Zea mays: one gene and its partners. The protein of the gene in region 4 binds, or shares a complex with, the protein of the main gene of each other region. Links are inferred from orthologs where the notes say so. Each region holds a gene or a part of one and is shown on either strand. Other genes may lie near its edges. The genes, in order: 50S ribosomal protein L24, chloroplastic-like; 50S ribosomal protein L31-like; 50S ribosomal protein L13, chloroplastic-like; 50S ribosomal protein L3, chloroplastic-like; 50S ribosomal protein L34-like; 50S ribosomal protein L4-like.

The links.
Region 1: 50S ribosomal protein L3, chloroplastic-like (region 4) and 50S ribosomal protein L24, chloroplastic-like share a complex: the UniProt entries of both Arabidopsis thaliana proteins name them as parts of the 50S ribosomal subunit. The link is inferred for Zea mays from reciprocal best matches to the Arabidopsis thaliana genes AT2G43030 and RPL24.
Region 2: 50S ribosomal protein L3, chloroplastic-like (region 4) and 50S ribosomal protein L31-like share a complex: the UniProt entries of both Arabidopsis thaliana proteins name them as parts of the 50S ribosomal subunit. The link is inferred for Zea mays from reciprocal best matches to the Arabidopsis thaliana genes AT2G43030 and emb2184.
Region 3: 50S ribosomal protein L3, chloroplastic-like (region 4) and 50S ribosomal protein L13, chloroplastic-like share a complex: the UniProt entries of both Arabidopsis thaliana proteins name them as parts of the 50S ribosomal subunit. The link is inferred for Zea mays from reciprocal best matches to the Arabidopsis thaliana genes AT2G43030 and emb1473.
Region 5: 50S ribosomal protein L3, chloroplastic-like (region 4) and 50S ribosomal protein L34-like share a complex: the UniProt entries of both Arabidopsis thaliana proteins name them as parts of the 50S ribosomal subunit. The link is inferred for Zea mays from reciprocal best matches to the Arabidopsis thaliana genes AT2G43030 and AT1G29070.
Region 6: 50S ribosomal protein L3, chloroplastic-like (region 4) and 50S ribosomal protein L4-like share a complex: the UniProt entries of both Arabidopsis thaliana proteins name them as parts of the 50S ribosomal subunit. The link is inferred for Zea mays from reciprocal best matches to the Arabidopsis thaliana genes AT2G43030 and RPL4.

The regions. Positions count from the first base shown.
Region 1 is NC_050100.1:50,135,632-50,139,953, forward strand, and holds 50S ribosomal protein L24, chloroplastic-like, read right to left. Parts: upstream 2,818-4,322; 5' UTR 2,761-2,817; coding exon 2,632-2,760; intron 1,196-2,631; coding exon 1,157-1,195; intron 1,069-1,156; coding exon 841-1,068; intron 706-840; coding exon 523-705; 3' UTR 337-522; downstream 1-336. UniProt on the Arabidopsis thaliana protein: One of two assembly initiator proteins, it binds directly to the 5'-end of the 23S rRNA, where it nucleates assembly of the 50S subunit. Required for optimal plastid performance in terms of photosynthesis and growth.
Region 2 is NC_050098.1:221,940,132-221,942,785, reverse strand, and holds 50S ribosomal protein L31-like, read right to left. Parts: upstream 1,354-2,654; 5' UTR 1,296-1,353; coding exon 1,206-1,295; intron 1,100-1,205; coding exon 797-1,099; 3' UTR 504-796; downstream 1-503. UniProt on the Arabidopsis thaliana protein: Binds the 23S rRNA.
Region 3 is NC_050098.1:202,897,697-202,901,734, forward strand, and holds the start of 50S ribosomal protein L13, chloroplastic-like, read left to right. Parts: upstream 1-1,232; 5' UTR 1,233-1,338; coding exon 1,339-1,563; intron 1,564-2,046; coding exon 2,047-2,232; intron 2,233-2,798; coding exon 2,799-2,969; intron 2,970-3,752; coding exon 3,753-3,869; 3' UTR 3,870-4,038. Other genes in the region: uncharacterized protein LOC100285659, read left to right, coding at 1-170, 277-533.
Region 4 is NC_050100.1:79,035,705-79,038,806, forward strand, and holds 50S ribosomal protein L3, chloroplastic-like, read right to left. Parts: upstream 1,881-3,102; 5' UTR 1,737-1,880; coding exon 1,238-1,736; intron 985-1,237; coding exon 695-984; 3' UTR 502-694; downstream 1-501. UniProt on the Arabidopsis thaliana protein: One of the primary rRNA binding proteins, it binds directly near the 3'-end of the 23S rRNA, where it nucleates assembly of the 50S subunit.
Region 5 is NC_050098.1:192,685,855-192,689,716, forward strand, and holds 50S ribosomal protein L34-like, read left to right. Parts: upstream 1-1,390; 5' UTR 1,391-1,416; coding exon 1,417-1,666; intron 1,667-2,938; coding exon 2,939-3,198; 3' UTR 3,199-3,342; downstream 3,343-3,862. UniProt on the Arabidopsis thaliana protein: This protein binds directly to 23S ribosomal RNA.
Region 6 is NC_050096.1:38,266,508-38,270,476, forward strand, and holds the start of 50S ribosomal protein L4-like, read left to right. Parts: upstream 1-1,169; 5' UTR 1,170-1,195; coding exon 1,196-2,102; intron 2,103-3,969. UniProt on the Arabidopsis thaliana protein: This protein binds directly and specifically to 23S rRNA. May play a role in plastid transcriptional regulation.

The DNA of each region.
Region 1 (4,322 bases), about 29 Mb from region 4:
AGATGTTATATGTGCACTATTGCTTCATGTGCACAGGTTACTTCGCCTTTGTAATATGCCTTTGTAATATAGGAAATGATATATGTGGATATTTCTGAGGAAGTGAGGACGAGACCGAGAGTAGTGGGTCCAGAGCTGCAAACGAACACGGGCTGCCCGCACATACAAGCCCGTTCAGGGCTTGTTCGGTTACACCAATCCAGAGGGGGATTGGAGGGGATTAAATCCTCTCCTAGTCAAAAATGACTAGGAGGGGATTTAATCCCCTCCAATCCCCCTCTGGATTACTGTAACCGAACATGCCCTCATAGTTTTTCATCCAAAACTCTGACTGGTGAAGCGGAACAAGATCAGCATATGCTGATGCGCATTGACTTGCGTTGCAAGATTTGGTGACAACTGTATAATTTACAGGGGGAAAAACTGGCGTAAATAACAACATAGAGGGATAAACAGGCTCAATTCAACATGCAAGACGCAGTCAGCGTTCAGAGCATTTTGCAGGTTTTCATGCTAAAACTGTTACTCCGAATTTCCTTCCTTAAAAACCTTTACCCACTTCTCAACACTGTCGATTACTTCACCGGTCTTGACCAGGTATCGGACCTTGGTCCCGTCCTCCAGGAATTTGTGGCCAACCCTGCTTACCACACTCTTCTCCTTAGAGTAGAGCATCACATTTGAGCTATGAATGGGGCCTTCAATCTGATCAAAGAAAATTTAAGTCTGATCAAGAGAACGATTAGGCACCTACTAAAACTACAGATATGCTCTTGAAACCAATATGTGCAAAGCATCATGAGAGGCCCAAAAAACAAGTTCAATAGAAATTTTGCTGACCATGACGATTTCACCGGGTTCATCGTCTGTGCCTTTCTTGTGCTTCGACTTCAAGTTCAGGTCCTTCACGATCACCGTGCTGTTGTGCTTGAAAAGGCGTGTGACTTCTCCAACCTTTCCTTTCTCACGGCCTGCAATAACCTGTACCGTGTCCCCGATCCTAACATGCATCTTGTGCAGCACAGGAAGACTGTTTGGTTTACACTTCTTTCGCTCCCATCTCTTAAGCTGCAGTGGAAAGTGAAGTTTTAGGACATTTCACATTATTGGATAAAAAAGGTATCAAATATTTGGACTAAAGATTTTTTTTACTCACTCTCATTTCAATTGGGCATATCTTGACCATAAACCTTACCTGCATATTGAACATATTAAACAGCTTGTCAGAACTTCACATCCTAAAGACATAAGATTCCATTTCAAATCAAAGAGACACTAATCAGATGCTTCTGAGATATGGCATGACTCAAACACAGTGGTTACGATTCATGTTGATCTGATCAAGACACTACAGGATCCAGGGCTCCTCTTTATGTTTGAGTAATACGATATCCCTTAAAATACAGTGGTTCTATCACTTCCTTCAACAGTGATTACTTGACCTCACTATCTATTCTTTACTTGCTTTTGCTTCTTAACAGAAAGGTTTATCCTCATCCGATTCTTATCAGTTGGGAATTTTCCAGGCACAAGTACATACAGGTAAGGCATAATAAAGATGACACAGAAAAGAAAGCAGGGTTCAAATACAAACATCATTATGCTCATAATACACTATTTGGCGCCAAATTTTGTTTCCAGTTAGTCATATGTATTGTGTGATGTGGGGTAATTCAGGCATAAATATATATAAACAAAATCAGTGGCACATTGAGGGCAACATAATTTCTTCAGTTGACATTTTGACCGCTTCAAAAGCAACATAATTTCCTCAGTTAACAAACTAAATAAAGAGTACTCGAACAAATTTTACCACATGAAACACAGCATACTCTCTATTAGCACTAAAAGGCAAACATGTGCATAGTTGTATATGCAAAAAGGACAATACCGGATTACCAATGACAAAGGAAATTCTCTTACTTAAATTAATCCCAATCAGTTAATCTATTTGGCGCACTCAAATCTTACCATTTAAGCTTCCATGCAAGATAAAAATAAAAAAAGAAGGTAGACGAAATTCAATATGGACACGGTCTAAATTTAGTGTGTGTCGTGGAGCAAATAGAAACTTAATGTAATATGAAATCTAATAAGGGCGAGTTTGGCATAGTTCTACTCCAAAACTTTGGGTGAAGTATATCTGCTCCGAAGTGTAGATTGCTTTCTCATAACCAGTGCATTGGATGTGTCTTGATTGTTTTTGAAGGATTTTTCAAAGTAGCAAAAAATGTACTCCAAAAAATTATACTACAACTCTCAAAACTCTATAGAGTTTGCAACTCTAGAATTAGGGTGTTTAGTTGACTTTGTCCAGGTCTTCCTTAAAGTTTTGCTCTAGAGTGATGTCAAACACCCCTAAACATAGTCATATTAGAAGCCTGGTTTGTCATCCTTGAAAATGCACAATTAATAACAATGCAAAGGTAATTTTCCATTTCATTGCATCCAATCCATACAGACTAGCTCCAAAACCGTAATGCAAGCTCGAATGTCCCTAGAACAATTCCATCCGACCGCGCTTTGCAACGCTATCCAGAAACTCCAGAGTAAAATCTTTCACCAGAACAGCTACTTATTATCTACCAAACCATCAGCAGAACGGAACGGAATTGGGAAGCAGGAACAGACCCCAGGCTGCGGCGCGGAGTAGGTGGCGAGCCGGTTGCCCCAGAAGCTGCTGCTGCTCGCCGTCGCCGCGCCTAGCGCGGAGATGGAGAGCGACGCCATGGCGCCCTGCAGCGATGCCATCCCAGCCATCCTCTCGCCGCTCTCCCTCTCTCACTGGACTTGCTCAGCGCCCAAACTGCTCAAAGGATAACGCACGCGGCTTCTTCGAGTTGCCCGGAACCGGAAGAGAGAGGATAACGCGCTCTTGTATTCTGACGCTGGTGGGTTGGGCCTCGTCACTAAATGAGACAGGCCTCAGGTGAGGCACAGATGGGCCTGGAAGACGCTTAGGTGATCCAGTGAGGCCCATGGGTGCTCGTTCTACCGCCGTGAGAGGCTACAGGCTAGGGCCTCGGCTCCACGAGCGAGCTCCGCACGCATCAGCTGATCAGCATCACTGCATCAGCTATCAGGACGACAGGACGAGGACGGCGGGGTCAAGGCTCTCTTTCTCTCTCCCTCCCTCTCTGCGTGTCTCCTCGCACGCTACGCGAGGCCACGCGAGATTGCTTGGGAGATGCGTGCCCGCCTCCAGATTCCCCGTTCCAGCGCCGAGGCGCGCAAGCTACGCGACGGTTGCTGAGGCAAGCGAACCCCCTACTCCAGTTTTTCACTTTGCTGTTGTGTAAAATAAAATTCGCGTTACAGAGACAGAGACAGTTTGGGCGATGGAGGGTAGGTGGATGGCGGTGACATCGAAGCTTTGCGCTTTTGCTGCTGCAGGTCCCATCCTGCACCGAGAAAGGGTGGGATGTCAATCGGATTTCTCTATTGCAAATCATGGTTGCAAGTTAGACGTGTTTACCTCAGATCTTTTTCTCCAGAGACATTGGGTATCTCTTTTCTCATAGTGGACTACATTTCTCCCCCTCGAAGTCAATATCTCTTTCTTCGACTTTTCATTGCTGGCAGTTCTGCGCATGTCCTAAATCCTTGAATCATAGTAGGACATCCATGACAGATCACATAAACAACACGGCCAATACATCACTGGGCAGTTGGGCCTCGGCTCCTATCGCCGTCATCTAACTACCATCTAGGGAATCAGGAATGGTCCTGCCGTGCAAGCAAACCTTTAACGTTCCCCATGGGATAAGCATGTGACTATGCAAATGCCCGACACAAATTATATCTTATTATGGTTAAGAATCTTGTGTTTATTTTTCTCTTTCTCCTTTTCTATTCGCCACATGTGTTGAGATAACTATGCAAATCGTGACATGAAGTTTTGTTTCTATGTGGCGCTACCAAACAAAATGGATAAGGAAATGTGTGGCTTTTTTCCATGATAATTGCGACAGTTTCATTTCGTAGCTATCTGTTCCTCGTGGCCATAGTAATGCTTTGCACTTTGTTAATTTTGTAAGAAAAGAAATGGCATGATCTAATAATAAGGCCTTCTCTCTATGTGGCTAACTGGCAAGGGCTTAGCAATCCTCCCCCTTTCTAACTATAACCTTTTAAGGCATGGATGCTGGAGTGCTGGGCAAAACTCAATCTGTCTGGGCAAAGCTCTACTTGCTTGCGACACTCCAGATGTGGACCATTTTTTTTCACAGGTTTCGGAGCTAGACATGTCAAGTAGTTTCCTTCGGTTGTTGATTAATTTGCCCACTGTGATAGAGATTTTGCACCTTGTGGCCTCCACAAGA
Region 2 (2,654 bases), on a different chromosome or scaffold from region 4:
TGACTCGAACATTATCCAAAACGACAAATAATATAACACCGGAGGGAGTATCTATTTGCTTGTCGCTATCTATTCTTATTTCCGCCACATTTTCTATCAACGTAGGAAATAGAGTGAATCAGAGCTAGTGTATGATATTATCTTCAACGGTTTATTAATAACAAAATAAAATTACTTACTTTTCTTTTGTCTAGATTAAGCCAATAATATTATAGTCATTTTGTTTTATTTTATAGAAATTAGCTTGAATTATATGTTGGTGCTAATTGTTTGTAATGGCATGAGATTTTACAAATATTCTATTCCACCCATATGGCCGTATGTCACGACATGTTTTATATATCATGCAACACATGGACACTCAATTAGTTCAGTCGCATGGAAAAATTGGTTGTATAAAACTATGACTCGGAAATTGGATCACCTAGCAACAGGAGGCTAGTTTGATCAAACAGTATGCGGTATCAGGTTATCAGCAGACGACTCAAGCTGTAGTCAAGCATCAGCGTATACTCCTAGTGAGAAATATCCATTTCCTCGAACCAGGATCATTTGCTTGTTTGATCAATACCATCCTACCCTAGAGTGCATTGCAGAAAGCACATTGTATTTGGGGGCCCATGATCAACAAGACCCTATCTCGTGAAGTAGTAGTAATTGTACATTTTCCATTCCGAACATTAACCGAACACCTGGAGAGCAATGCGAACAGACAGAGTCTCGATTCCATTCAAGAGGGCAAATGTAAACTGGACCGGTGACCACGCACCGGGTGAGGAAGACGGGGAGCCATCAATCAGTTGTCCCCCTCGGGCTCGAACTCCGGGTCGCCGTCTGGGTGCATCTCCCTCCACTGGTCCTCGGGCCAGTACTCCTTGATGTGGCCCCACTTCTTGCGGAACTTCTCGATCTGGCTGTCCATGACCACGAGCGCCGAGGTGTCGCCGACATAGTAGGGGTGGTTTCCGGACCACACGTCCACCGTGTACTCCGGCTTGGTGCCCCCCGTCACCAGCACCAGCTCGCCGTTGCAGTACACCTTCGCGTCCTCGTAGATCTCCGGGTGCAACCCCTTCTTGCGCATCGAGCAGCGCATCCCCTGCACCGCGCCGTCCAGGTTCCGGACTCAGGAATTAGCGGCGGCGACGACGAAGATCCGTGCAGGAATGGCGAGAGGGAGGGCCGGTGTGTACGAACGTGCGTACCTGGGAGGGGACGACGGAGCGTAGGGTGCGGGCGGTGGTCCTCGCGGCGGCGGGGATGGGGAGGAAAGAGGTGGAGAGGGAGAGCGTCATGGCGGACGATGGCCTTGCCTCGCGACAGTCGCTTCGGCTGCCTATGTTCTTTCCTTCCTCTTATCTATCGCCTTGCTAATGTTATCCTCTGGCGCTCGTCGATTCTCTCTTTAGGTAGCGTTGTCTAGGCTTGTTTGGGCTCTATATGTTCATTAAAGTCTGTCTGTGGTTTGTTTTGGGCTACGTGGAAATGCGACGGCCCACGAAAAATCCAGTGCCCAATTTCTCCTTCAGTTATTTCCAGTTGGCGGCCAGCTATACTAAAGAGGTATAGCTATGCGGTTTTTTATTTATCGAAACATTTCGGATCAAAATTCTCTTTCATAGATGTAACGTCGAAGAAAGTACACCACCAGAAATGAAAGTGTTGGTAGATGGTTGGTTGAATTAGTGGGCCAAAAGAAGAGAAAGTTGCATGCCGTGTAGAGTCTGACTTAAATATAATTAAGGAATGATATGCAAACTACAATTACAGTTGTTACGGTTTTCTTAAGAGTATAAAATTAAATAATTTAGAGCAACTCTATTAGAGCAACTCTAGTAGTTCTCCAAAAGATTCCTTAAATCAATAAATAATTTAGGTAGCTAAACTAAAAACTCATCTCCAACAACTCTCTTAAATGAATTTTCTAAATTTAGCTACTTCTCATCTAATCTCAATTTCTCCCTACATTTAGCAACCATTTATCAACTTCCTAAACAAAAAACTGACGATAACTTTTGTATTTTGGTGTTTTTTCACTTTGTAGTAGAGATATATTAACAGAGCACATTCGTCGGACGCCGACGATGTAAAATTGTGGCAGGTAGTCAACTAGAGATTAACCAATTGCCAATGCAATAGCCGCACGTGCACATGTTAGAAATAAACGAATAAACAATTGTGATAGTAAATAAAAAAGCCAACATAACTCACCAATTAAATGTGTCATCACTAATGGTCCTACTCAAACTAGCGTCATGTTAATTAAAATTTAACATATTTAGAAAGTAATAGATAGAGAAATGTTGGATGAGATGATTTTTTCCCCTATATTATATGAGAACTTGCTATATCTAGGATTTAGGTATTATTATTATACATAACTATTGTAGTTGCTCTTACTAAATACTATACTCTTCTATCACCTTTTGGTATATCATTATTCGTACGTCATGCTGCCCTAAGTATTCATATATTTTAACTTTGGTTTGTTTGGCTATCTCTATTCATTATGCCTTGTTGATAATAGATCTAGCTAAGTATTCATATATTTTAACTTTGATAGGTGCAATTTTATATTTGTTATTTATCGATTAACTACATCTACAAAGATTTATTCCATGTTGTATGAGTATAACAATGTTTGTCGATCATAA
Region 3 (4,038 bases), on a different chromosome or scaffold from region 4:
GACAAACTCTACATTTGCTATCTCTGAACATGGAGCACGGAGTAACATATATGATGAGGGGAAAGCTATTGTTCAAAAGCACAAGGCTACCCCTGAAGAGGTAGAGGTACAATTGACTCGGTATCGTCAAGATGGAATGCCGGACACAAAAAGATTGCACGGACTGAAAGGTCAGTCTGTTAATCTTTCTCAAACAATTGTTCTTTTGCTCCTGTGGAATATCTCTGTATATGTTTTCCGAACTGTTATAATGAATTTACCCGTTTGATTTTTCAGCTCTAGCCGAAGCCTCTGTTATTGTGAGGGAACTCACCCCTGCAACGAACCATTTCATGTGTGCTTGGTTTAATGAAGTGGTTCGCTTCACATCTCGTGATCAGCTCAGTTTTCCATACGTTTTGTGGCGGCTAAACATGCATGGATTGAGCATGTTTCCTGTATGCACTCGCAGGGATCTTGTGAATAGTTTGGGTCACACAAGGAAAGTAAAACCTCTTACACAGACAAATTCAGGGTCTTCTACTACTTCGTAACCTTCCTCCCAGTTCATTTGCTGGTAGCCAACTAACCATTGATTTACATATGGTTCTAATCGTCGATACTCGACATCTCTGGTTCACAATTTTGTTGTTGTATATTATCATCTTTGCGTTCTTCCTGCGAGGGAATCCTGGATCTGAACCAGAAACACGTTAAGCTGTTGCTTCACTGCAACGCAATCACACGATGTTGCCACTATATATGTAAAAGATATGCTTTCTTTGGTTAGAAGAGAATGAACACTTTTCTGCCTCCTTTCCGTTTCCTGATGGAACATGTGAAAATGGTGTCCGTTATCAATTAATTCGGCTTCTGCTGCTGATGGTTGTCGCGGAAACTAGCAGCAATGGAAGTTCTGTTCCCGTCATTTTATTTGGACTCGAGAATTTCTCTGATTACCGATGTTTCTAATTGGTACTTGAACAGCGGAATCGTTTGAAAAAAATATGGTCCTGTCTGAAGCTATATTTTGTTAATGCAGCTCCCTTTGCCCAATAGTAATACATTGAATTTCTTTTTTTTAGATGGAATTATGGAACCGCCATTATTCTGAGTTTGGGAAGAGTTTCAAAGGAAGCGTTTAAATCTCAGATGAGCTGATAAGGTGTCGTAATGGGCCAAATCTGCATTTCGTTCTGAGCCCATGAAGCCCATATGTTCTTGTTAACCTTTCCCTGTTCTTTGTCTCCTATCCCCTTATCCGCTTGACGCTCCCCACTGCGCCTAAAAATGGCCGCGTCCCACTGAACCAACCGTCTGCACATCCTCCTCCTGTTGCCGCTCGCTCGCCGTGCCGCAATGGCTACGGCCGTCGCCTCCCATACGTTGCTCTCCTCCGCCTTCGCCCCGCGCCACTACCACCGCCGCCTGACCCGGACCGCGTCCGTGGGGCCGCGCCGGGCCGCCCCGGTGGGACTGGCCGTGCGGTGCGAGAAGAGCGACAAGCAGAAGAGGCAGCCGCTCGCCGCGCTCGTGCCCCGCGAGCAGCGCTTCATGTTCGAGGGAGACGAGCTCTGCGGCCCCGTACGACGCTCTCTCTTCCTCTCTTGAAACAATGTGCACATTTTCACAGCTCGTTTTGCAGGATTGTAACCCTGGACTGACAGTGTCCATCCTATTTTGTTCATGTTTCACCGTGGCCATCTTAATCCACCTCAGAGGCTTCGACTATCCTTTTATGTGCATGATGAAGGGCAATCAAGTTACAATAGAACTGCGTACATTATATATGTTATCTGCCATGTGCCATCATATCCAAAATTACCCATGGGCTGTTTGTGGTGAGAGAGAATTCATTAAAAATGAGCTTAATTGGACATGCAAGTCAAAGTGAACTGATGGTTGCCAACCAGCCTGTTCATAATTGTGACTTGTTTAGGATCAGTTACTAATACTATGGGTACAAAGTGAATGGTTTGTTTGTACTATGCCTTGTTCTTTCTTCTAATGAATTACTCCACAAGTAATTGTGTCTACTGAAATCTGATTCAGTGATTTAATTTGCAGGACATATGGAATACAACCTGGTATCCTAAGGCTGCAGATCATGTAACTACCGAGAAGACATGGTATGTTGTTGATGCAACAGACAAGATCCTAGGCAGGCTAGCATCCACCATTGCAGTACATATCAGGGGAAAGAATGAACCCACTTACACTCCTAGTGTAGACATGGGAGCTTTTGTTATTGTGGTAAGCGTTCTCTCAATACCTATAGTGTTTGGAATCCCTACAGTTAACAGGTAGCCAGCTAACAAATTGTTAGCTGGGTTGAGCCAGCTAATGAACTAATTGTTAACTGTGAGTTAGCTAACAATTAGTTGTGGGTGTTTGGAACCTGTATAGCTAATTTTAGCAGCTAACTATTAGCTGTAGAGGTTCCAAACAGGGCCTTAGTATACATGCTTTACTTCCCTCAGATTATTTGGTACTGAGGTGAGTAACCTTCCTCAAATAATCTTCAACTGTAGTTGTGTTTAATGTTTATGTTAGCATAGTCCTTTTGTGACTGGTGCATCTCTAAAGGCTCATTACCACGTATTCCCTCAGTTCCAAGTTATAAGACTTTTTGGATTTTTTTTGGATCCATTACTTTTGCTACGCACTTAGACATAATTCATGTCCAGATATTTAGTAACAACTATGTATCTAGAATTACCAAAACATCTTATAATTTGGAACAGATGGAGTAGATGATATGCATTATTGTGTTACACTACAATGCTGAGAGTCATTAACAACCTTTTCTATTCACATAGGTCAATGCAGATAAGGTTGCTGTTTCTGGTAAAAAGCGGTCACAAAAGCTTTATAGGAGGCACTCCGGAAGGCCTGGAGGGATGAAAGAAGAAACTTTTGACCAACTTCAGAAAAGAATTCCAGAGAGAATCATTGAACATGCGGTTCGTGGCATGCTCCCCAAGGGAAGGGTAAGAAAAAACATCTACTAGCTGATTGCCTCAGGTCTACATGTTCTCTTTCTCGTTTTAGTGCGCATGTTATAATGTATGCCAAATATGAAAATGACAACCAAATTTCCTGGTGACCTTTATTTTAAGGTCCCAAAAATTACAATTTGGTATTAGTTAGCAGATGTGAATTTTTTCTTTTGAGATTGAGAACTACTATAGTTAATGGTGAGGCCTTGTTCGGTTATTTCAATTCCATGTGGATTGGTGTGTTGGGATGGATTGGGATGGATTTTGACTTGCTATGGATTTAAACCGACTCAATACCACTCAATCCACATGGATTAACGGCGAAACGAACAAGCCCTGAAGTGTATTGCAGTCAGAACATTGCTCATGCATCAGCATGTACCTCCCAGTGAAAGCGTGACATTCAGAATAAATCACAGTACTAAATTCAAGGGAATGTTGTTATTGAACAAAATTAACAAGTCCAGATTGAATTAGTTAATTATCTTGCCGATCTTTTTTTTTCTAAGTTCGCAAAGGTGTGTTGCATGAACTCCATAAAAATTGCCTATTAACCTTTTTCTTGCAAATTGCTTCTTAGTTCAATTGTTTGGTAGTATGGATGCGTTTACTGAAACTCACATTATGGCAGGCAAATATCTTGTTATCTGAAGCATCCCCCCTAACCATTCCATTTTTCTTGTTGATGGCAAATTTGATTTAACTTAGTTTTGTTATGTGCTATATACTTGTTATATTTACATTTATATGCTCACCTTTTTTGCCAATTTGCAGCTGGGAAGAAGATTATTTACCCACCTCAAGGTATACAAAGGGACAGAACATCCGCACGAGGCTCAAAAACCTGTCCCACTCCCGATCAGGGATAAAAGAATACAAAAAACTGGATAGAGAATTCATCGACTGAAAAGGATGCAGTGGCGAATTCCTCCCCAGAAGGTTTTGCCCTTTGTTTGGAATGCTATCCTCATAACCATGCCTCTGATCGGGGAGGGGGGGGGGGGGAGTATAAATCCTCTTTGTAATTTTGATGTTTACCAATGCATGAAATTCAGTCAAA
Region 4 (3,102 bases):
TAACTTCTTTGGTCGTATGTTCTTTATGTGCAGGTTGAGGAGTGATCCATTTGTACAGACTATTTTGGGCAGCTAAATATCTACAATTGTGGTCGTGGAACTAGCTGATTTGGTGGCCACTGTTTCTTCTTCCGTGTTAGGTTTTGTGCTCTTAGAGTAGAAGCATGGATGGCTTATTATTATGATCAAATAATCCGTATTGAAGGGTGGCCCAAACAATCCGTCTTCTTTGTATCTTCTCTGAGGGTGATGTGGTAGCAAATGTATTCGTTCAGTTGGCTATAGTGGAAGCTTTACGATTATGTCAAAGTTCTCCTTTCTGCCCCCCTGTTGCACAAGGTTACGTCTGCAGTTTTTCTTGTTTGTCGCATTTCCTGGTTCCGTTTTGGTTGCGTTTCCTGACTCAGATCAGTACATATCTGCATGATCTGCGACCATTTGTATTTAACTATTTGTATGATCTATGGCCATAGAATTAATCAACTATTGTTTAGCGGAATTCAGGAACCAGAAGTGCATCTTGCATTACCTGCCTATTACTCTCTCACCCAAGCATCCAAATTGTACAGGTTATAGTTTTACTAATCTGAAGTTGCATGTGTTCAAAAACTGGAAATTGGCAAAGGATTACATCCAGTTTGTAGCAGGGTAACAAACACAAACACTCAACATTCACCCCCCTGAAAAAAGAAGTCTAGTTCTTGGGGATGTTCTTGCCGACGATCTTGGCCGGCGTTATGCGGAGGAGGTTCCCGGGCTTCCCTGGCACGGCCCCCTTGATCATGAGCACCCGGAGGTTGTTGTCGATCTTGACGATCTTGAGCTTCCTGATCTTGGTCTTGGTTCCTCCCATCCTCCCGGGCATCTTCTTCCCCTTGTACACGCGGCCCGGCGTCGTCCCGGCTCCGATGGAACCCAGCTGCCGGTGGCTCTTGGAACCGTGCGTCATCAGCCCGCGCTTGAAGTTGTGCCTCTTGATGCCACCTGCGCAGTGCCACAAGTAAAACCGCGCGCGAGCGGATCAAGAACGTTGCAAGCTAGGAGATTGCACAAGTGGCATAGCAATCGCAAATGCAAACCTTTGAAACTACAGCTACAGCAAATGCTGCTAAAACTTCACTCTCCATGAAACGGAACAATGACACATACAACCGAGGCTGGCAGATCATTAGCAGAATTGCTGTTGCTGGCAATGCAATCGCACTATTGGATGGAGGCGCGAGAATCGGTGTACTACCTTGGAACCCCTTGCCGATGGAGTTGCCGGAGACGTCGATGAGGTCGCCCTCCTTGAAGAGGTCGGCGAAGTCGAGGGGCTGGCCGGGCTCGAAGGCGTCGACGGCGGTGAGCCGGAACTCCTGCAGGTGGCGCAGCGGCGGGGCGCCGGCCTTGCCCAGGTGGCCCAGCTCCGGGCGGGTGAGCTTGTCCTCGCGCACGCCGTGGTACCCGACCTGGACGGCGTCGTACCCGTCCGTGGCGGCCGTCTTCACCTGCGTCACCACGTTGCCGCCCTCCCGGAACCCGACCACGGTCACCGGCACCGGCTTCCCCGTCTCCGGATCGAAGTAGGTCATCATCCCCACCTTGGTCGCCATCACGCCCACCCCGGCCTCGTACGACGCGCGCACCGCCACGGGCGCCCGCCGCCGCCCGCCGCTCCAGGGGACGGCGCCCTGGCGGCGCTGCGGGAGGAGGAACGCCACTGCGCCGCCCACGCCCACGGCCGCCATGGCCATGCTTGCTTCGATTTGACTGGGATTAGCAGAGGGGAGTGGCGCTCTCGTTCAATTTGACTGGGATTTATGCGGATGCGGATAGGCCGCTCTTCCTCGCGCCTATCCCCTTATCCAAGGAGGACGTCTGCTCGGAAGCGACTCAAATAGATACGCCTTTCTACAAAGAAAGCGTATATACAGTTGCTTAGAAATTTGCATGGCAAGACCTCCATCCATTCTCCTATTGTCACGTACTTAGTGTTTGGTTGAGGAGCCAAGTAGAACGGAGCCATTCCATCCCTGATTCTAGGAACAGAGCCGCTCTGTTCTGTGTTTGGTAAGTTGGAACAGAGCTGTTGACGCTTTTTCGGAGCGCCAAATACTCAAGAAGAACCGGCGGCGGTGCTCTCTGGTCAGGCGCGGACGGTCCGCGGCCTGGGGCCGGACGGTCCGCGACCTGGCGCAGGGGCTAGGGTTTCCTGCCTGACGGCCGGACGGTCCGCGCCCTAGGGCCGGACGGTCCGCGCGTGCGCAGGGGCGGCGGAAGATCGCCGGCGGCGCCTGGATCTCGCTCCCGGGAGGGACCCCGTCGGGGAGGAGAGATCCTAGGGGTTGTCTAGGCTCGGGCCGGCCGACCTAGACTCCTCTAATCGGCGTAGAGTCGAAGAGAGGCGAAGAATTTGGGGATCGAGAGGCTAAACCTAAACTAGACTAGAACTACTCCTAGGATAAAATGCGAAATAGAAGTTGTATTGATTCGATTGATGATTACAAATCGGCCGTATACCTCTCTATTTATAGAGGAGGGGGCTGGACCCTTTACAAACTAATTCCCGAGCTTATCCCATGATTTTAGCTAACAATCGTAGCACAAAACTCGGAACCCTAATCTGCTCTGTGCACACGCGGACCGTCCGGCCCACAGGCGCGGACCGTCCGGACCGCGGACCGTCCGGCCTCAGGGCCAGACAGTCCGCCGGCTCATTTTGGTGTCAAACATATGCCCCCCTGCCTTTTGGTGGAGCTGAGCGAACCAAAAGCAACTAACTCGATGTGATCACATCAGTTTTCTTAGGCATCTTGACACTTGCTAGGATGATACGTAGTGGCCTTAGTCCCGATGGTTGACTCAACGGACGTGACTCTTTTAGCTTTGATCGAACTGTCAGTCCCAACACCGTCGAGCGTCATAGCGATCCTGACCAATCCGTCACCTTACTTTTTCTAATTTTCCAAGTGTTCTGGCGTAGCTTCGTAGTCGACCAGGTCTTCCCCTTGTAGGTCATCTTCCTCCATGGGTGTCGGTACATCGTTGGTGGTGTCTTGGTGTAGTGCGGATGGTTCGGCCTCAGGGGTCGGATGGTCTGCGCCCTGTACGGTTGGTCTG
Region 5 (3,862 bases), on a different chromosome or scaffold from region 4:
GTGGCGATCCACCGTGAAGTGTGACAAGTACTTTTCTACCGGCTCCTTGTGCCATTCAGAGAGTTTATGCAGCAGCTCCGCCTATTCCTTGTCGCGTTGTTCGTTCCATTGCTGCATCACCTCCTTCTCATCACGCATTACGAGGTCTTCAAAGGGTCTTTGGTCATCAGCCGGGAGCGCCTCCATGGCCGGCTTGATGATGTTGGTGGTGGAGATCTTGGTGTGATCCTTAGAACCGACCATCTATGGGCCGATTTTTAGCAGGTCTAGACACCTAGTCCCCAGCAGAGTCGCCAAAAGTATGTTGACACCTTTTTCGGGCGCCAAACACTCAACAAGAACCGGCGACGGTGCTCTCTACACAGGCGCAAACGGTTCGCGCCCAGGGGCCGGACGGTCCGCGACCTGACGCAGGGCTAGGGTTCCCTGCCTGACGGCCGGACGGTATGCGCCCTAGGGGCCGGACGGTCCGCGTGTGCGCAGGGGCGGCGAAAGGTCGCCGGCGGCGCCTGGATCTCGCTCCCGGGAGGGACCCCGTCGGGGAGGAGAGATTCTAGGGGTTGTCTAGGCTCGACAGGCCGACCTAGATCCTCTAATCGACATAGAGTCGAAGAGAAGCGGAGAATTTGGGGATTAGAATACTAAACTAGGGCTAAACTAGAACTAGACTAGAACTACTCCTAATGCATAAGGTAAAAACGAGTAATAGACTTGATTTGATCGATTGTTGGGGAGTTCAATCGGCCGTAGCCCTTCATCTATATAAAGGGGGAGGTCTGGATCCGCTTCGAACTGATTTCCGAGTCAATCCCACGGTTTTAGATAACAAATCCCATGAGAAACTAGGAACCCTAACTGACTCTGCGCACGTGCGGACCGTCCGCGCCACCACCGAAGACAGTCCGGACCGTGGACCGTCCGCGCGGCCCCTTTTGGCTTTCAACAACTGTATATGCTCGGACTTAGAGCTAAAGATCCAGAAATGAGGAAGCAATTCTTCAAGCTTTACCATGATACAGTTTTGTAAACATTCTTAATCTTTAAAAGATGCTAACAAGAGTATAGGACAACAATTAATGCTTCTGCATTTCAACGTATCTTATCTTAACATATTTTACTCCGTAGCAATGCACGGGCATACAACTAGTATCATTGTAAGTTTTATAATGGAATGAAGCCCTCTAATTAATGGTAAAATAGCGAAACTCACTTTTGATAATGGCGCAATCCTAAATTTCTCCGTGAGGAACCGGGATTCTCCAGGGCGGAGGAGGGGATGTGTGGGTCAAATGTGCACTAGCCCATAGGAGGCCCATAAGGCCTGTCTCATCAAGCGTGGATAAGATAAAATAAAACAAGCACCAGGGACAGGGAGTGGCTAGACCGCAGCAATTGCGATTGCGAGTCCTCCAAACCATGGCGCTCGCCCTGGCCTCTCCAATGGCGTCTCTCTCCTTCCACTCCGGGAGGATCTCGGCGGCGTCTATCGGAGGCGTCGGCCGCACTCGCAGGGCGGCCCCGGTGGGCGTATCCGCCTCGCCGTTCCTCCGGAGCTCCTTCGTCTCGTCCTCCTCCACGTCGTCCGCCTCCGCCTCCGCCTCCCCCGCTTCGCTCGCGGCGGCTGTCTCGGCGTCTCTGGCATTTACGTCCTCCTCCGCGTTTGCGGGTGAGAATGTATCCTGTAATCCTTTTCTTCCTGTATTCGTGTGCTAGCGTTTGGGCGGCCATTTGTTTTGGTCTTTATTTGGGGAAATTTTGTGGGTAGTTTGCTTACTAGTAAGCTCGTACGGGGAAATGACATTAAAAATTTGAAATTATGACTTCATGACCGTGTGTTGACGATAGATTTGCAGAATAGGATGTTTGACTTGCTAATAATTCACTAATAATACAGTAAGCTGGTATCAAGAGGGTGGAGTTTTGGAATAGTTTGTTCTTTGTTGTTCATTACTCTAGTAGGGTGAAGAACAGTAACTGGGGATTTATGTTGTTTTAACGTTTGAACCGGAATTAATTACACTCACTTCATCTATACAAACAGAAATAAGGGTGTCCTAACTAATTCTTTGAAAACATTGAAGCTTGTGTGGTTGGTATTATAAAAAAACCAAAAATTCAGTTAGTCGGGCATATTAATAGAGAAGGACTAGATACACCAACATCGTTGAAAACAAAAGAAAAATGCTCACGAAACGAAGCGATGGCAAGACAATCACCAAAATAATAGTACATCGCCAATAAAACCATCAGAGCATTGGCAATCAGAACACGCCCTGATAGCCAAACAAGATATGGGGTGGGGTTCATATGATGCCTCCAAGGAGGTAAACAACATCTGCAGGTGCCGCCATCGATTATAGAACCTATGCTTTTGAACCAAAATCCCCTTAGGGTCTAGAGACCTCTTGACAATGCCTACAAGGAGGAGTGCGTCACCATTGCTGGCATCAACAGAAAGCCGAGCGTAGCTTTTGTCGAAAATCTGCTACCCCAAAACCCACACCTTGTTCCTGCAATGGCAAGGAGCCCACCAACGGCACTGCATGTTGTCATCCACCAAGTCTCAAGATAAAGTCATTGCAATAGCATTTTCTTTTGCTTGACAAGAAATCAAGATTTAAGAAGGGCTGCATATGACAGGACTATTAACCAATATAGTGAAGATTATATAACACAGTTGAAGCATAAACGCTTCCAAGAAACTTGATCTCAGGACTGATAGTCTGATACTACGACAACACTTTAATCACACTCGACTTTTCCATTACCTAAAGCAAATCCCAAAGCTCCTAAAAGAAGCACGACAAAGTTGAATCCAACAAACCATTTAAGCATTGTATAACAATCCAAACACAACCAGATAGGTATTCACAAATCAATGATTGTGAGTGCATGTGTGCCTTCGTTGTTCTTATACTTATAGCATGTTCTATGCCAGGTTCATCTTTGGGAATCGAGTTCAGCTACAGTATAATGACAACACGGAGATCCCGTGGTATGCAGATTAGGGCTGGAAAGGCTGCCCTCTGCATGACCAAGAGGTCAAGGTCTAGGAAGTCACTTGCCCGTACACATGGTTTCCGCAGGCGGATGCGGACTACTTCTGGAAGGAAGGTACTGAAGCGCAGGCGCGCCAAAGGCAGGAAGGTTCTTTGCACAAGGACAAACTCAAACAGTGGGAAGAAAAGAATGTTCTAATTACACTGCAATTTGATGTGCTCGCAACTGTAAGTGTAATGTCTACTTGCAATCTTCTAAGCCGCCATCTATGTGTAACAATCATGTAGCATCCTATTCCTGTTTAATTGGTTAAAAATATCTGGATCACCTTCTGCTTCCAAGGTTTTATTTGGTGTATGAATGATATTTTCTTATGAATATTTACTCTTCCCTAGTGGGCCTGAACCTGCGTGCAGTATGAAGGAACACTTGAGAGTAGATACCGTCGCTGTTATGAAGTAGGATCTCCTTTTACCCTGCCCATATTCCGTTATGAATACTGAATCTTCCCTGTTGGGTCTGAAATTGTGTGCAGTAGCATCGTTCGCTATACTGAACTAGGATCTCCTTTTGCGTTGCAGGGATAATCAGTTAAACTATTATATACTCCGGTTCCAATTTATAATTCATTTGACTTTTTTACACTAAGTTTGACCATCTCGTTTTATTTAAAAAATCATAATTATTGTTAAAGTTTACTGTGGTTTTGATTAGCATACAATATACTTTAAGTATGGCTTTGGATTTTTTTATTTTTTCAAAAAAAAAATTGAATAAGACAAACCGGATTTACCTTCATTAGCTGATGATGAAACTACTTACCCGTGCGGCCGTTTGATCCTTGCGCTACTTAAATTCTCTT
Region 6 (3,969 bases), on a different chromosome or scaffold from region 4:
TGATTCACGTAGGGACCAAAGACTATGTTGGATAGATATTTGTATCATTCATGTAGAATGTATCGTGGAAGATCGAAACAGAAGAAAATAAATAAGTATGATAATTTGAACTTCGGCCATCTGCTCTAAACTTCTGATTTCCTGACTTGCTTTTACCTTATGGTTTGTGCAAGGGTGGCAGAATATCTGGAAAAAAAAACTATCATGAGAATGCAATCCGCAGTCATCTATTCAGGTTTCTTGACCTGCATGACTTTGCTTGTTACCTTGTCGGTAAGGAGACGCGTGCAAGTTGGTTATCATCAGGAAGCCAAGGGAACGTAGAACTTCTGATTAAGGCTGTGCGCAGCGGTCACCGCTAGCACTCCCCCTCCCCTTGCATGCCGTCTGTAGGGGGCACCCTACGGCCGCAGCGGTGCCCCCTACAGCGCCCCCTACGCGTCGGCACCCTTCTATCTCCCCCCAGATCTAGCGTGTCACTGTTCATCACCCTAAACACTGTGCTGTGGGTCCACGAGTAATTGTTAGTAGATAAAAAATTAATAGTTGATATAGAAAATGATATTTTATAGTTGTAGTGGGGTATAGGGGAGTATTTAGGGGGAACCGCTGCGGGAGATGAAAAAATAGGGAGAAAAATAGGGGGGAAAAGTGATATAGGGGGAAAAATTTAGGGGTAACGGTTGCGGATAGCCTAATCCTTTTTACCTAGAATTTCTGAAGATTCGTTTTCACCCTTTATCTATCCCAGCTGTGCTGAAAGCATTGGGCACTTGCAGTTGAGTCTGCAGGTGCAGCTGACTTAAGTGCACAGGCACGGTTTCGTCTCCTCCCGTCCCGTGTCAACCAGTTTTAGCAAACTGCAAGCAAATAAATTCACTTAACACGGCAAATGCCCTTTCATTACTTGTAATATTAATGGATTTTTAAGGAAAAATTACTCAAACTTGTGAAGTGCGACTGCGACTAGCCGACTCGGCATGAGACCTGACTCGGTGACTCCTGAGACAGTTGACAGTGTGCCTTCTTGTGGCGTTGGCAAGTAGGGACTACGAGTCTGTCTGGGGAGGAGTGGCCGAACCGAACGGGTGGATAACAAAGGGATAGAGAAGCGGCAGCTGCAGAGGCAGAGCGTCAGAGCCATCGTCCTCGCCTCACCCCGTAGTCCCGTACCTAGCGCAGCGAAGCCGGCACAATGCCAGCCGCCGCCGTAGTCTCCCCTCTCCTCCTCTCGCTCTCCTCGTCCTCCTCCCCCTTCCTCTCTTCCTCATCCACCTCCTTTTTCCCACCCTCCTCCGCTGCCGTCACTCCACACGCCGCCGTCAGGACGAGGGCGGCTGTCTCCGTCCTCCGCGCGCTGCGCGCCGAGGCGGCCACCCTCCCCGTGCTCTCATTCACCGGAGAGAAGGTCGGGGAGGTAACCCTCGACCTCAAATCCGCGCCACCCTCCACCGCGCGCGCTGTCGTGCACCGCGCTATCATCACCGACCGCCAGAACGCGCGCCGAGGCACGGCCTCCACGCTCACCCGCGGCGAGGTCAGAGGCGGAGGGAGGAAGCCCTATCAGCAGAAGAAGACGGGGAAGGCGCGGCGGGGGTCGCAGCGTACCCCGCTTCGTCCCGGCGGTGGCGTCGTGTTCGGCCCCAAGCCCCGCGACTGGTCCATCAAGATCAACCGCAAGGAGAAGCGCCTTGCCATCTCCACTGCCATCGTGAGCGCCGCCAAGGACGCCTTCGTTGTCGAGGAGTTCGAGGAGGCCTTCGCGTCGGGGCCCAAGACCAGGGATTTCGTGGCCGCTTTGCAGCGGTGGGGGCTTGACCCGAAGCAGAAAGCCATGTTCTTTGCCACGGACTTCGACGACAATGTGCGGCTCAGCGGCAGGAACATTGGTTCCCTCAAAATGCTCACACCCAGGACGCTGAACCTGTACGACATACTCGACGCACGCAAGCTCTTCTTTACTCCTGCTGCTGTAGACTACCTCAACTCCAGGTACGGAGCCAGTGTTTCCGATGACTACTATACTGATGACGAGGATGATGGCGAGGAGGAACTGGTCGAGCAAGAAGCAGAAGAAGGCACCACAGCAGATGCTGCTCCAGGTACATAGCTACAGAGTATGCTTTGCTGGTTGCAGTGCGCTGCTTGATTATTCCTGTACTGGCCATATATGGGCTCTCTGCTAGTAACTGCTATCCTTCAGTTAGTACATGTCTCAACAGGTTGAAGGAGAATAGCAAATGGTAGTGCTACGAAGCAGTAATGCCGATTGGATTGAATTGCATCACCATTATTTTGGGGAACATTTTATCTACAATGTAAATTTGAATGGCATAAAACCACACTACTCAAGGACCAAGACATGGGGTTTGAATATCGGTTTTGTACAGGACTATGTTTTGCTGAATAAAAATGCACCTCTTACCATATTTCTCATTTTTCTAAAAGAGAGTGGCAGGAGCTCTGCCTTGCATTGAAGGGAAATAAGATGGTTTTGTCTGAATGGCAGACACGCCTCAACATAAAATAGGACAACCACAAATTTCATGAGAGAGCCAACCTGCAAAGAAACAAAAACAAGACACAATTGTTGTGGCGGCCAATGATGTCGGTGTCACGGCGGGAGAGGGCGTGGTCGACCGTATGGAGACAACTGGGGCAGTATTACACCGTGAAGTTGAAGCCGAACAACTTGCTCACCCACTGGTGCCGCAGGATCGTTGAGAGGCGTTGATCAGGCAGGAACTTCACGCTAAAGTGGTTGGTGCAGATGAGTAACCGGCGCCCCCAGAGATATGGGCGCCAATGACGCACGACTTGCACCAAGTCGATGAGCTCTCGTTCGTAGGCGGCGATCTTCTGGTGTCATGGCACGAATGGTCAGCTGAAGTAGGCCAGTGGTCCTGCGCCCTACTGAAGGATAGCGCCGAACCCTATGCTCGTCGCGTCACACTCCACGACGAACAAGGTATCGAAGACTGGCAGATGGAGGACCGACACAGTGGAGTGTGCGCGCTTGAGTGCGGTGAAGGTCGTCTCAGCCTTCGGTGACAAGTGGAAGGTGTCCTTCCCTAGCAAGCTGGTGAGTGGCGCCACGATGAGGTCGAATTCCTATATGAACTTCCTGTAGTACCCCATAAGGCCCAGGAAGGTGCAGCCAAGACGTGACGGCCTCCACCTTGTCTCCATCCATGGCTACGCCATCTACGGAGATGACGTGCCCTAGGTATGCGACGGACGTCATGCCAAAGGAGAGCTTGCCAAAGAGGGAGTGTGCATGGAGGCGTCGAAAAAGGCGTGTTGCAGATGAGTTGACCACGAGTCGTTGTAGATGAGAATACATCAAAGAAAACAAGGACAAACCAACGGAGTAAGGGCTGCGTGACTTCATTCATGAGGCTCTAGAATGTTGCCTGCGTGTTTGCCAACCCAACTGGCACCAACAGAAACTCAAAGTGGCCATGGTGGGTGTGAAACACGGTCTTCTCGATGTCGCCTGTGTGCATGCGGATCTGGTGGTACCCGGAGCGTAGGTCCAGTTTTATGAAGAAATGGGCGCCATGGAGCTCGTCAAGGAGCTCATCAACGACGGGGACGACGAGGATTGGGAACTTGTCCTTCACCGTGTAGTCGTTGAGGAAGCGCAAGGAGTCGATGTAGAAGAGCAAGGAGTCATGCTTCTTGACGAGGAGCATCGATGTGGAGAAGGTCGACGTGCTAGGCTAAATAACGCCCTAGACCAGCATGTCGACGACTTTGCACTCCAATTCGTCCTTATGGACCTACGAGTAGCGGTAGGGTCGGACAGCGACTGTTGTCGTGTCTGGCTGCAAGTGAATGCAATGGTCACATGCACGAGTTGGTGGCAATCCAGAAGGCATGGCGAAGACATCGATGTTGGCGAGAAGATCGTCAAGGAGTGGTCGCGGCTCAGGCAGAATAGTGTGGAGGGCTATCGACGTCGTTGCA